Linked DNA regions of Yarrowia lipolytica. The protein of the gene in region 2 binds, or shares a complex with, the protein of the main gene of each other region. Links are inferred from orthologs where the notes say so. Each region holds a gene or a part of one and is shown on either strand. Other genes may lie near its edges.

The links.
Region 1: YALI1_F34625g (region 2) and YALI1_E18269g share a complex: the UniProt entries of both Saccharomyces cerevisiae proteins name them as parts of the multi-subunit COQ enzyme complex. The link is inferred for Yarrowia lipolytica from reciprocal best matches to the Saccharomyces cerevisiae genes COQ4 and CAT5.
Region 3: YALI1_F34625g (region 2) and YALI1_E32754g share a complex: the UniProt entries of both Saccharomyces cerevisiae proteins name them as parts of the multi-subunit COQ enzyme complex. The link is inferred for Yarrowia lipolytica from reciprocal best matches to the Saccharomyces cerevisiae genes COQ4 and COQ11.

The regions. Positions count from the first base shown.
Region 1 is NC_090774.1:1,825,736-1,828,906, forward strand, and holds YALI1_E18269g (uncharacterized protein), read right to left. Parts: upstream 1,226-3,171; coding exon 647-1,225; downstream 1-646. Other genes in the region: YALI1_E18258g (uncharacterized protein), read right to left, coding at 1-63; YALI1_E18281g (uncharacterized protein), read right to left, coding at 1,804-2,364; YALI1_E18291g (uncharacterized protein), read right to left, coding at 2,884-3,171. UniProt on the Saccharomyces cerevisiae protein: Catalyzes the hydroxylation of 2-hexaprenyl-3-methyl-6-methoxy-1,4-benzoquinol (DMQH2) during ubiquinone biosynthesis.
Region 2 is NC_090775.1:3,461,245-3,464,196, forward strand, and holds YALI1_F34625g (uncharacterized protein), read right to left. Parts: upstream 1,330-2,952; coding exon 541-1,329; downstream 1-540. Other genes in the region: YALI1_F34631g (uncharacterized protein), read left to right, coding at 1,887-2,903. UniProt on the Saccharomyces cerevisiae protein: Lyase that catalyzes the C1-decarboxylation of 4-hydroxy-3-methoxy-5-(all-trans-hexaprenyl)benzoic acid into 2-methoxy-6-(all-trans-hexaprenyl)phenol during ubiquinone biosynthesis.
Region 3 is NC_090774.1:3,274,101-3,277,349, forward strand, and holds YALI1_E32754g (uncharacterized protein), read right to left. Parts: upstream 1,419-3,249; coding exon 1,376-1,418; intron 1,328-1,375; coding exon 561-1,327; downstream 1-560. UniProt on the Saccharomyces cerevisiae protein: Component of MIOREX complexes, large expressome-like assemblies of ribosomes with factors involved in all the steps of post-transcriptional gene expression. Component of a multi-subunit COQ enzyme complex required for coenzyme Q biosynthesis.

The DNA.
Region 1 (3,171 bases), on a different chromosome or scaffold from region 2:
CATGCATTCGGATGAGGCAATAGCGGTGGCGGACAGCGCCGACAGCAAGGCGAAAAACTTCATGGTTGTGGTGTCTCGTCGACTGTGCTACTGCTGTTGTCAACGCACACGAAGCATGAACCCTCGATTTAAAGTTTGATGGGAGGTTGTTTTATTGGTACGAGTACAAGCGTGTTAACTATAGAAGTACAGTAACAGGTAACACACAGTGATCGACAGCTACAGCATGACTTCTTGTACGATGACTTACGGTCCTGACATACCTGGGGAGGTTCTACAACGGCGCCAGAAGAGAATTCAGCAAGCTGCCAGTGCCCTTGAAGTGGTCCAGGCTGGACCGCAACTGTCCGAAGAGGCAGACTCATCAGACGACGATGACTTCGGTCCATCACTAACAGGTAACCCCAACATCAGCGAGACAGAGGCTCTCAATAGGTTAGAGGAGAGGAGCAGAAGCAAGACATGGGTGAATATGGACCCTGCTCACAATCCCAACCGGGATGGGTGGATGCAAAATGTCCCTGCGGAACTCTCAGGGACTTTTTCGAGTGAGTCGGCGCAGGATCGTGCTAAGGAGATGATGGGGTTTAAAAAATAGTTCACCTTCCACTCGTACATTCGTTAATACATATTTATATACAGATGCTTAAACTCGCTCGGCGACCCAAATGGCTCCTCGACATCCTGCTTTGATGGTTTCCGTGAGAAGCCAGTAAGGTCTGGCTTCATGCGAGTCGTTTTCCACAGCAATCTCGAGATGCTCCAGCTCCTCGTCACGGAATTGCTTAACAATGCTTTTCAAAGAGGTGATCTCTTCGTCCTTGGACCGCTCTTCCTTGGGAGGGAAGTTTTCGTGTAACCATCGCAACTGAGTGTTGTAGTGTCCACCAATAACAGTTTCTACGGCTTCAGTGCAAGCCATGGCACCTTCTTGACCAAGAAGGGCCGTGGCACAGCCTAGACCAGTTGCTGCAACCTTCCAGATCGGGGTAAGCAGAGACGGCCGGACTCTGTATTTCTGTTGAAGCTCGTTGAAAGTTCGTCTGTGGTGCTGCTCTTGCTCCCACATGTGCTTGATGAGAGGCTCGATCTCAGGCTTGGTTCGGCTGAGAACCATGTACTGACCTCGGTAAATAAGGTCCGCACCAAGTTCTCCAGCCTGGTCGACACGGATGAGTTTGGTAATAAACGAGGCCTCTGCCTTACTGAGTGCGTGTCGGGCCATGTCTGTTTGGAGGACTGAGAGAAGATGCGTAAGGTGGTGAAGTTAACTTTTGTCGGCTCATGTCCAAATTCATTCATCCCAAGTCCGCACTCTGCTGCGACGCAGGTGTAAGACTCGAACAGGATGTCGGACGCTGCACATGATAGAAGTCCCCAAATTGAAATCGCACATACATCACCAGGATCGTAGGCTGCTCTCTACATATCCCCACCTCAATTGTCAAGACACGGGGACACCCTCAATGACTCGGAACTCACTTGCTGCCGATGAAAACTAATCTGTACTCAAATGCCACCTCATATGATAACGAACCTTAACTGTGTGATCTGAGTAAGCAACTCGGCTTACAGTAGATGGGAAGCATAGAGCCAGAAGACGAAGAGGGTGAATAGAAAACATAGTAAAAGGGCTACGAGAACCAAATTATTATCGAAAAAAACAAGCTTATCTATATTACCAGTCGTCTCCTCCACCATAATCATCAGCGCCTCCCGAATACATATCGCCGTCGTTGTTGTTACTGTTGTCGTCATAATAGTTGTTCACAACCGTGTCACCGCCATCATGGTGGCCACTCATCATGTCTCCAATAAGCATACCACCAAGAAGACCACCACCAACACCCATGGCGGTAGTTCCCCAATTTCGTCTGTGAGGTTGCTGCTGCTGCATCTGCATAGGCGGGGGCTGGGCATACATAGGTGGAGGCGGGGGTTGTTGGTACATGGGCTGGGGGGCCAATAACCAGGTCCAGGGCCATAACCAGGTCCAGGGCCACCGTATCCGGGGCCCGGCCCTCCGCCATATCCGGGGCCCGGTCCTCCACCATAACCTCCGCCACCGTGGGGACCGCCGAAGCCACCAGGGCCAGGTCCCCCGCCGTATCCTTGAGGGCCTGAACCACCACCACCATATCCACGCTGCTCCTGGTGAGGTCTGTTGTTGTTGCTGTTGCTGTGGCTACTTCCCCGAGAAGGAGGCCGGTCGTATGATGGCGGACTGTGGCCACCGGAGCCGCTAGGCTTGTCCCACTGTGATTTTCCGTTGGAGAGGTCGACATAGTAAAAAGTCTTGTAGTTGGGGTCCCATTTGGCTAACCAGCCATCGGGGACGCTGGGGGGAGTTGGCTCGTTTGGCATGTCGTTGCTGAGGCCTGGGCTGGACTGAAGATGCCGTGTTACAGCTAGCTACGTTTCGATCGCTGCACTTCGTGGTCAGACTTTATTGGGATTTGAGATTTGGGTATGGGTAGTTTTGGCCAAGTTTACTACTGCACTACACACAGGGTAATTAGGAGGCTGTGTCAAATGTGACCGGAGGCTGTGTATGACTGATCCTTCACGTGCGACCTTACAAGCAATGAATACGGTGAAGGAATAAACTCGTCGCGCACTATTATATGCCTCTACGAGCGATATCATGATATTTAGATTTGTAATACGCGCCTTTGCTCCGGGGAACTGCACAACCTCTCAACAAGATTATGGTGGTACAGTATCGTAGACAGTAAGTATGTACAACCCCACCTGTCACCCCGAACATAAAAGTACCATACAAGTGTGATTGAATAGCGCCGTTGTATTTTCTTGTGGGTTAGACACAACTCGACATATACTACAGGTAGGTGATTAAATCTATGCACTTATATACAGGCTTTCTCAAAGATGAAATTTCTTCCCAGTGGAAGCAAATGCTTCGGAGGTTTCGGTCTCCAGAAGCTCTGTTAGGGTGGTGCCGTCACGCAGATAAACCCATTCACCGTCGACATAGTCATAACGCTTGGGGCCGGAAATGGGGGAACTTAGCCAAATCTGTTTGTTCGGGGGTTGTTTGTTGATAACGTAGGATCCAGCACCAGGGATTTCCAAGCTCATCACGCCTTGAGCTAGATCCACATCCAGCTCATTTGAATCGACCTCCTCAGCGTATTCTTCATAAGCAATCAA
Region 2 (2,952 bases):
AAGCTCAGTAGAGTTGCGCCGAGGAGGTGAGAAGGGGTTTCGGAGTCTTACTGTCAGTGTATTCGTGTGCTGGATTGTTTATGTTTTTTTTTCAGGTTGATATTGTTTGTTTTTTTGTATTGAAATCGGCATTTAGAAGTCCTCCTTTTCGCTACGATACAAATACCTCCTCTCTCCCAGGTACGTATGTACTCTATGGAAAGAGGTCCGATGATTGAGTCTAAGTGTCTCAACAAAGAACGATGTGACCCCAGCTTGACAAGTGTAATTAACAGAGTGTGAGCATTTAATAATTTCGATAGATCAGGAAGATGAAAAACACAGAATGGGATTCATTACCCAGGTAAAACTTGCATATTGTATCCTATGTACAGAGTTCCATCACGTATCCAAACTACCACCTTCTAACACCACTACAGTATTACAAGTACCGGTACCACAGGGTACTCTCTTACAATATCGTTTTCATCGCACCTTCTCTACCCCTTCCCAAATTAATTTCTTCGTTCTGACTATAACTTATATACTTGCAACCCTTGGTCACTTCTTCTTGGCCATATCCTTCTTCATCTGTCGGAGATCCGGAGGCTGTTCGATTCCAAGATCTCGTCTCAGCTCCTCGGCGTCCTTCTCCAGAACCTCTTCCCAATACACATTAATGACAGGTTTGGATCGGAAGCCATTGTAGAGAGCCCAGGGAAGGTAGACGTCAAAGTACCGCTTGCGCTGCTTGGGCTTGAACTTAAGAGGAGTGAGGACCATGCCCAGACCACTCATGGGCAGACCTGTATTGGCCCATTCGAACGCCTTGAGAGCCAGCTCACCCTCCATGATGATAGGCAAACCCGTCAGGGCATGGTAGAAGTCATGGGACTCACGGTATCGCTGCATGACATAAGCGCACTCGGGATCGTCAATGTATCGCACCTGAGCTCGGGTATCAGGTGAGACCCCCTCCTTGTCCAGCCACTCCACGTATGTTCGTCCAATGCTTCCGACCTTCATGTTTCGCAGTTTGTCGAGATCCAGACTCTTGCTGGTCATTCGGGGCTGTTCGCGCAGCAGACGTCGACCGGTCGGGTCTTTGAGCATCTGCTCTCGCAGCTTGTAGATGAAGTAAGGCTGGGCGGTTGCTTCTCCAAGAGTGGCAACCAGATCGCCTCGTCGAGAGTCGAAAAAGGTGCCGAACCCACTGCCTACAGCAAGCACGGCTCGTCCCAGACACGTGAGAGGCACGTGTTCGGGGTATGCCTTGGGGTAGTTGCCGTTTAAGAGCGTTCGGCGCTGAATTGGCGCCAATAGTGTGGTTTTGGGCACCGTTCGGAACATGTTTGTACGCTTGCAAGAGAAAGTGATTCACTTAGAGTTGGTGGACTGATGTGAGAGATAAAGTTGATGCATCAAGATGAGCAACTGTGTGGTGTACCAGGTGCTCTAGCTACGACACAAGTGGGGTAGACCATTGGGAAATATTTAGTGTCCAGATTAATAAAAAAATGTTATAGACTTGTTTGGATGGTAATTTTTTTCCCGAAATTGTGACTACCGGTATCTCAGAACGATGTTGTGGTGAGGACTGTAGTTAAGAATGCATGAACAGTATAGTATGATCACTGAACAACCCTCATACGACCTACATTGTATGTACTTGTACCTACAGTAAGTGATATATATATATATATTCTTCGAACATTGAAAACGTAAGTTACACCTAATAGACCTCATCATATCATATCTTCAATATTCCATTTTATGCAAATTTCTCTTCCTTCCTTCATGTCAAAAATCACTACAAGCTTTCGGTACAGTATGTACTTGCGCTGGTAAGTTCATGATTCGATGTGCAGCTCAGACACAATCTTCCAGCCATAACCACACATCACAACATGGCACATCTATCGTGGTACCTAGACGATCTGCAAACAATAGTGCCAGAGACCATTTCCAACGGTCTGAAGCAATGTCTGCTTTCACTCACAGCCCCTGAAGACTCGCCCTTGCCTCCGTTCAAGCTACCCGTCTCATCGCACGCCTCGGAAACACTCAAGGGAGTTGTCTGTCGAAGTGGAGCTGCTATTACCGCTACTGACATCCAACTGAAACTCCATTCACTGAAAAACAAATCGTTCACAGTCAGAATCAATCCAAAAACAGACGGATACCAACTCAGCCAGATCGACAGCTGTATCAACCACGTCAGCCTAGCATTGGACCAATGTGACGCCATTATCGGCTCAAGAGATCCACAGTACCTCAATATAGTAGCCCAATCGCTCATCAAACACATCAACGAAGCCGTGGCGTCAATCAACTCACCTGTCGTGTTGCTAGAGAAACCCACTGAACCGGCTGGAGGAATCCCCAGCAACAACACCTCGCGATGTGCTACACCCAACCCCAACATTTCGCACTCCAGTCAGTCTATCCCCGTCTCGCTGTCTGGAACTCCGCACTCCACACCCTGGCTGTTCCCCAACACTCCTCCAGTTGACTGCTTCAACCCAAACCTACCTCCAGAACTCATTGTCGAGTTTTACATTGCCAAGTGTGCCATTGTGGTGGACGTGCATGTTGTGGACCGAGGCATCAGTCGAGCTGGAACTCCCTCGCAGAACCCTTCACCTTCTTCGTCTTCCGCAAACTTGGCTGCTCTCACTAACCTCTTCAAACGAGCTCCGGTAGCCTCCAATACAGCCCCCAAAATCACTTACAACGGAGAACTGGTGAGCGAGGTGGAACGAGTGGTTGTGGATACGAAAGATCCCATTCTTATGTCGATAGAGGCCAAGCTGAGCGCAATCAAATCTGCTGCTTATCGTCTCCATCGAAATCTGGCTGCGGTATCAGGTGCTTCAGAAGCTGAGCAAGTTATCATGCCTGTCACAGAGGTATCTGCTAACTAGAGACATTATTTCAGCACCTTATCTATTTATTTATTCAACATTACACATA
Region 3 (3,249 bases), on a different chromosome or scaffold from region 2:
TTGTACCGCAGCACAATATTAGTCGTCCCAATGGTTATTGAGTCATAGCAAGTGTCAAGCGCATCGTCGAGCTAAGCAGGTAATATACGGCTCGTGCCTGTCTCTGATACAGAGCTCGTTCGTATGCGTCTTATACAGACATGCCGAGTAGCTGTGAGGAGGTGTTGAAATAAAGTGAACTGCTGAGAGCCAGGCACTATCATAAAAAACTCGCGACTACTACTTGCAGTACAAATACTCAAAAGTCTGTGTCCGTTATGATGAATCCAGTCACTATGCTACATCCACTAAACGCCGATCATCGAAGGGGTCACGGATGCAGTTTGCAATATACTTGTGCATTCAGACCCAGATACAAGTACAAGTACAGTAGTAATTGTTTTGGTATGAAGGATGTGGTTATCAGGTACCAGTTTCGTGGCAGGTCTCAATATCTTCTAAAGGTCCTTACGCGAGTAACACTGATGTGAAGGTATGTGAAAAGTATACCCTTACATCGGCAGTAGGCCTGCCATTAACCAGTCTGTCGTATCTCATATCATTTCCACGATCTATTTACATTAGTTTCTACTTTTGGAGTCACTAAATCGTTTGAGAGCAGCCAGGGCAATGACTCCCTCGATGTCCTCATTCAGAGCATCTACCGCTGCCTCCGCAACAACGTTGACACTGAGAGGAGGCTGGATGAACTGTGGAAGAGCAGGGAAGAAGGATCGAGCAACGGTCTGGGCGCCGAATCCGACCTTTAAAGCCTCGGCAAGAGCGTCTCGAGGTGTAGACTTGTGAATGCCAAATTGACGGTCCCCGGAAGACTCGTACATGAATGCGGGTCGCAGGAACACCGATCTGAGGTTGGTGAGGTCGGAGATTTCGGTCTCTGCCATTCGTTTGGAGGTGATATATCCATCGGGGATGAGATTGCTGGTCTTCTCGGCAGACACCATGACGTAGGGCTTTCTCTCGTCCATCGGAACAGTGTCGGCAAATGCTGTTGCCGTCAGAACTGCGCTCAATCTGTTCATTTTGTCGTAGGAAAAGTTTGGGTCCTTGGCCATAGGATTGGAGCCCTTGACGAGACCACACAGGGCGTCTTTAACTCCTCCGTTAAGTCCCTGCTTGTAGTTGCCGCCCTCCAGCAAGATTCCCATTGAGTGAATCACTGCCGACGCCTTCTCTAGCTCGTTGGTGTATGTAGAGGGCTCAAAGACGTCAGCTCGCTTCCATTGGACCTTGGACATCCAGCTCTCGGCGTTCTTGGGAGGTCCAGATCGAGAGATGGAAGTGACTGCCCATCCCTTGGAGAGGGCCTGCTTGCAAATGTGTCGTCCTGTGTTAGCAGCTGTGTGTGAGGTGTGTGTTGAGACTTGCTACTTACCAAGGAATCCGTTTCCGCCAAAGACAACGAGGTTTTTCGACATTATGTGCTGTGGTGGTAACACTCGATAATTTGTGATGATACGACAAGGTTCGGTGGTAAGGTTTGTGCTGCGTGTGTGATGCGGGTTGTTGAGGCGTTGACTGGATGTGGTGATGGTAGTGGGTATGTAGATACCGGTAGGTTGTGTACATGCTGTATTGGATGGCAGCTAATGGATGTTGGTGTGCTGATTATCCTTGGTATTGGCTACAGATACTGGTGCTGTGTTTTTATGGATAGCTTGGTCGGCTTAGCAACCGTATGGCAAAGTCGTCTCTCTTACACAAGCTAGGAAGGCTCCATATAGCCCCTTCAAGTGAAGTTGTCTGGGCGCGATTCCTCCTCAAGATACGCAGGCCAGGCACAAGTACTTGTACTTGTAGCTCCAACCTGCCCCAAAGGTAATATCCCAGGCCACAAAGCAGGTGCCACTTCCTCTCGTCAGTCCTTGCTATAACTCAAGTATTGTTCCACGCTCACATGTCCGTGGCTTACTAATTCAACAAACCTCCTCCTGGGTTCGACTCTCACCGGGGTACTATAAGTAGTATTATGAAGGCGCCTACAGGGGACCCCAACTGTCATGATATCATCGGATATCAAAAGATAGCCCATCGCCAAGAAAAGCAATCCGGGGAGAGATAGCCGATCGAGAAGTGTGGGGATAGACACAGTATCCTTGAGCCTTGCACCAAAACCCAACAAACTACTATATACGGCAACACTCCACCCCCTCCGGAATCCACCAATTTATTATTCCGGATGCTCTTGCCCCACCAAGTTCCAGTCCGTGATAGTACGCTTGGTAGAGAGGGTCCCACATGTACGAGTAGTGCACAACCGCATACAAAAGCTGCGATATTCCTGCACAGAAAAGTAGTGGCGGATATATATTGATTGATCAAATAACATGTGTGCACAGCCCCGCACTCTACGTGCTCGTATTCAGCCTCATAGAGTGTCACCACGTTGTCGCAACCAACCATCATCCACCTTAGCTCGGCCGAGTCACGTCATGTATTAGGGGCGCGCACCAATGTACACAAAGTTGCACTAACAAGAGCTTCTTGCGCGTTGCAGCTCTACGCCGCAAAGTGCCGTGCCGAACACAAAGACCTACTCAGCAGCTCCAAGGGCGCTCGGCCAACGATATAAATACACTCTCACCTCCGTATTCATGTTCCCTGCATTGCGGTTCTCACCATGGGCAATAGGCTTCATGTTTGAGACCCTCTCGCATAGAAGTGGCAAAGGTAGGCGAGCAAAGCGGAAGCAAGCAGGAACGCTGGAATTGGCAGTAAACACAGCGTAGCCCCGGCGTTCGAAGCGGCTGAACGACACAAAGCGACATGTAACATCATTGCGGTTATGCTCAGCCTCGCCCTCGTATCATCGGGTCTCTAAAGTGTCTCTTGGCTTTTCTCGGGTTTGGCTTCCGAGCAACTGCGTGTGTTTTGCCTGTATAGCGCTCCACCAAATTATTCCAAGAGTGTATCGGACAGCATTCTCTGGAAGTCTACGAAGCCAACTTGTACTCTTCCAATCTTCTTTTTATTACCTCGAAGCTATAAAAAATGACCTGATCCGCGGCAAGATCGGAGCCCAACCCTCATTCTAACTTGTCCATTCTTTTGCTTGTCCATGACCATTATTTAGCCCTTCAAGCTGCCTAAACGGTTTTTGGAGTTGAACTCTTGATCCGTTAACCTCAGCATTTAAATCTTTTTAAACGCGCATGAGATGTTGCTGCCGGAACACTTTAGGAATGGGACGTAGTAGGGGGCGTATCAGAGCCCCAGAAGAGAGATTTGAACACAGAACTGAATATAACA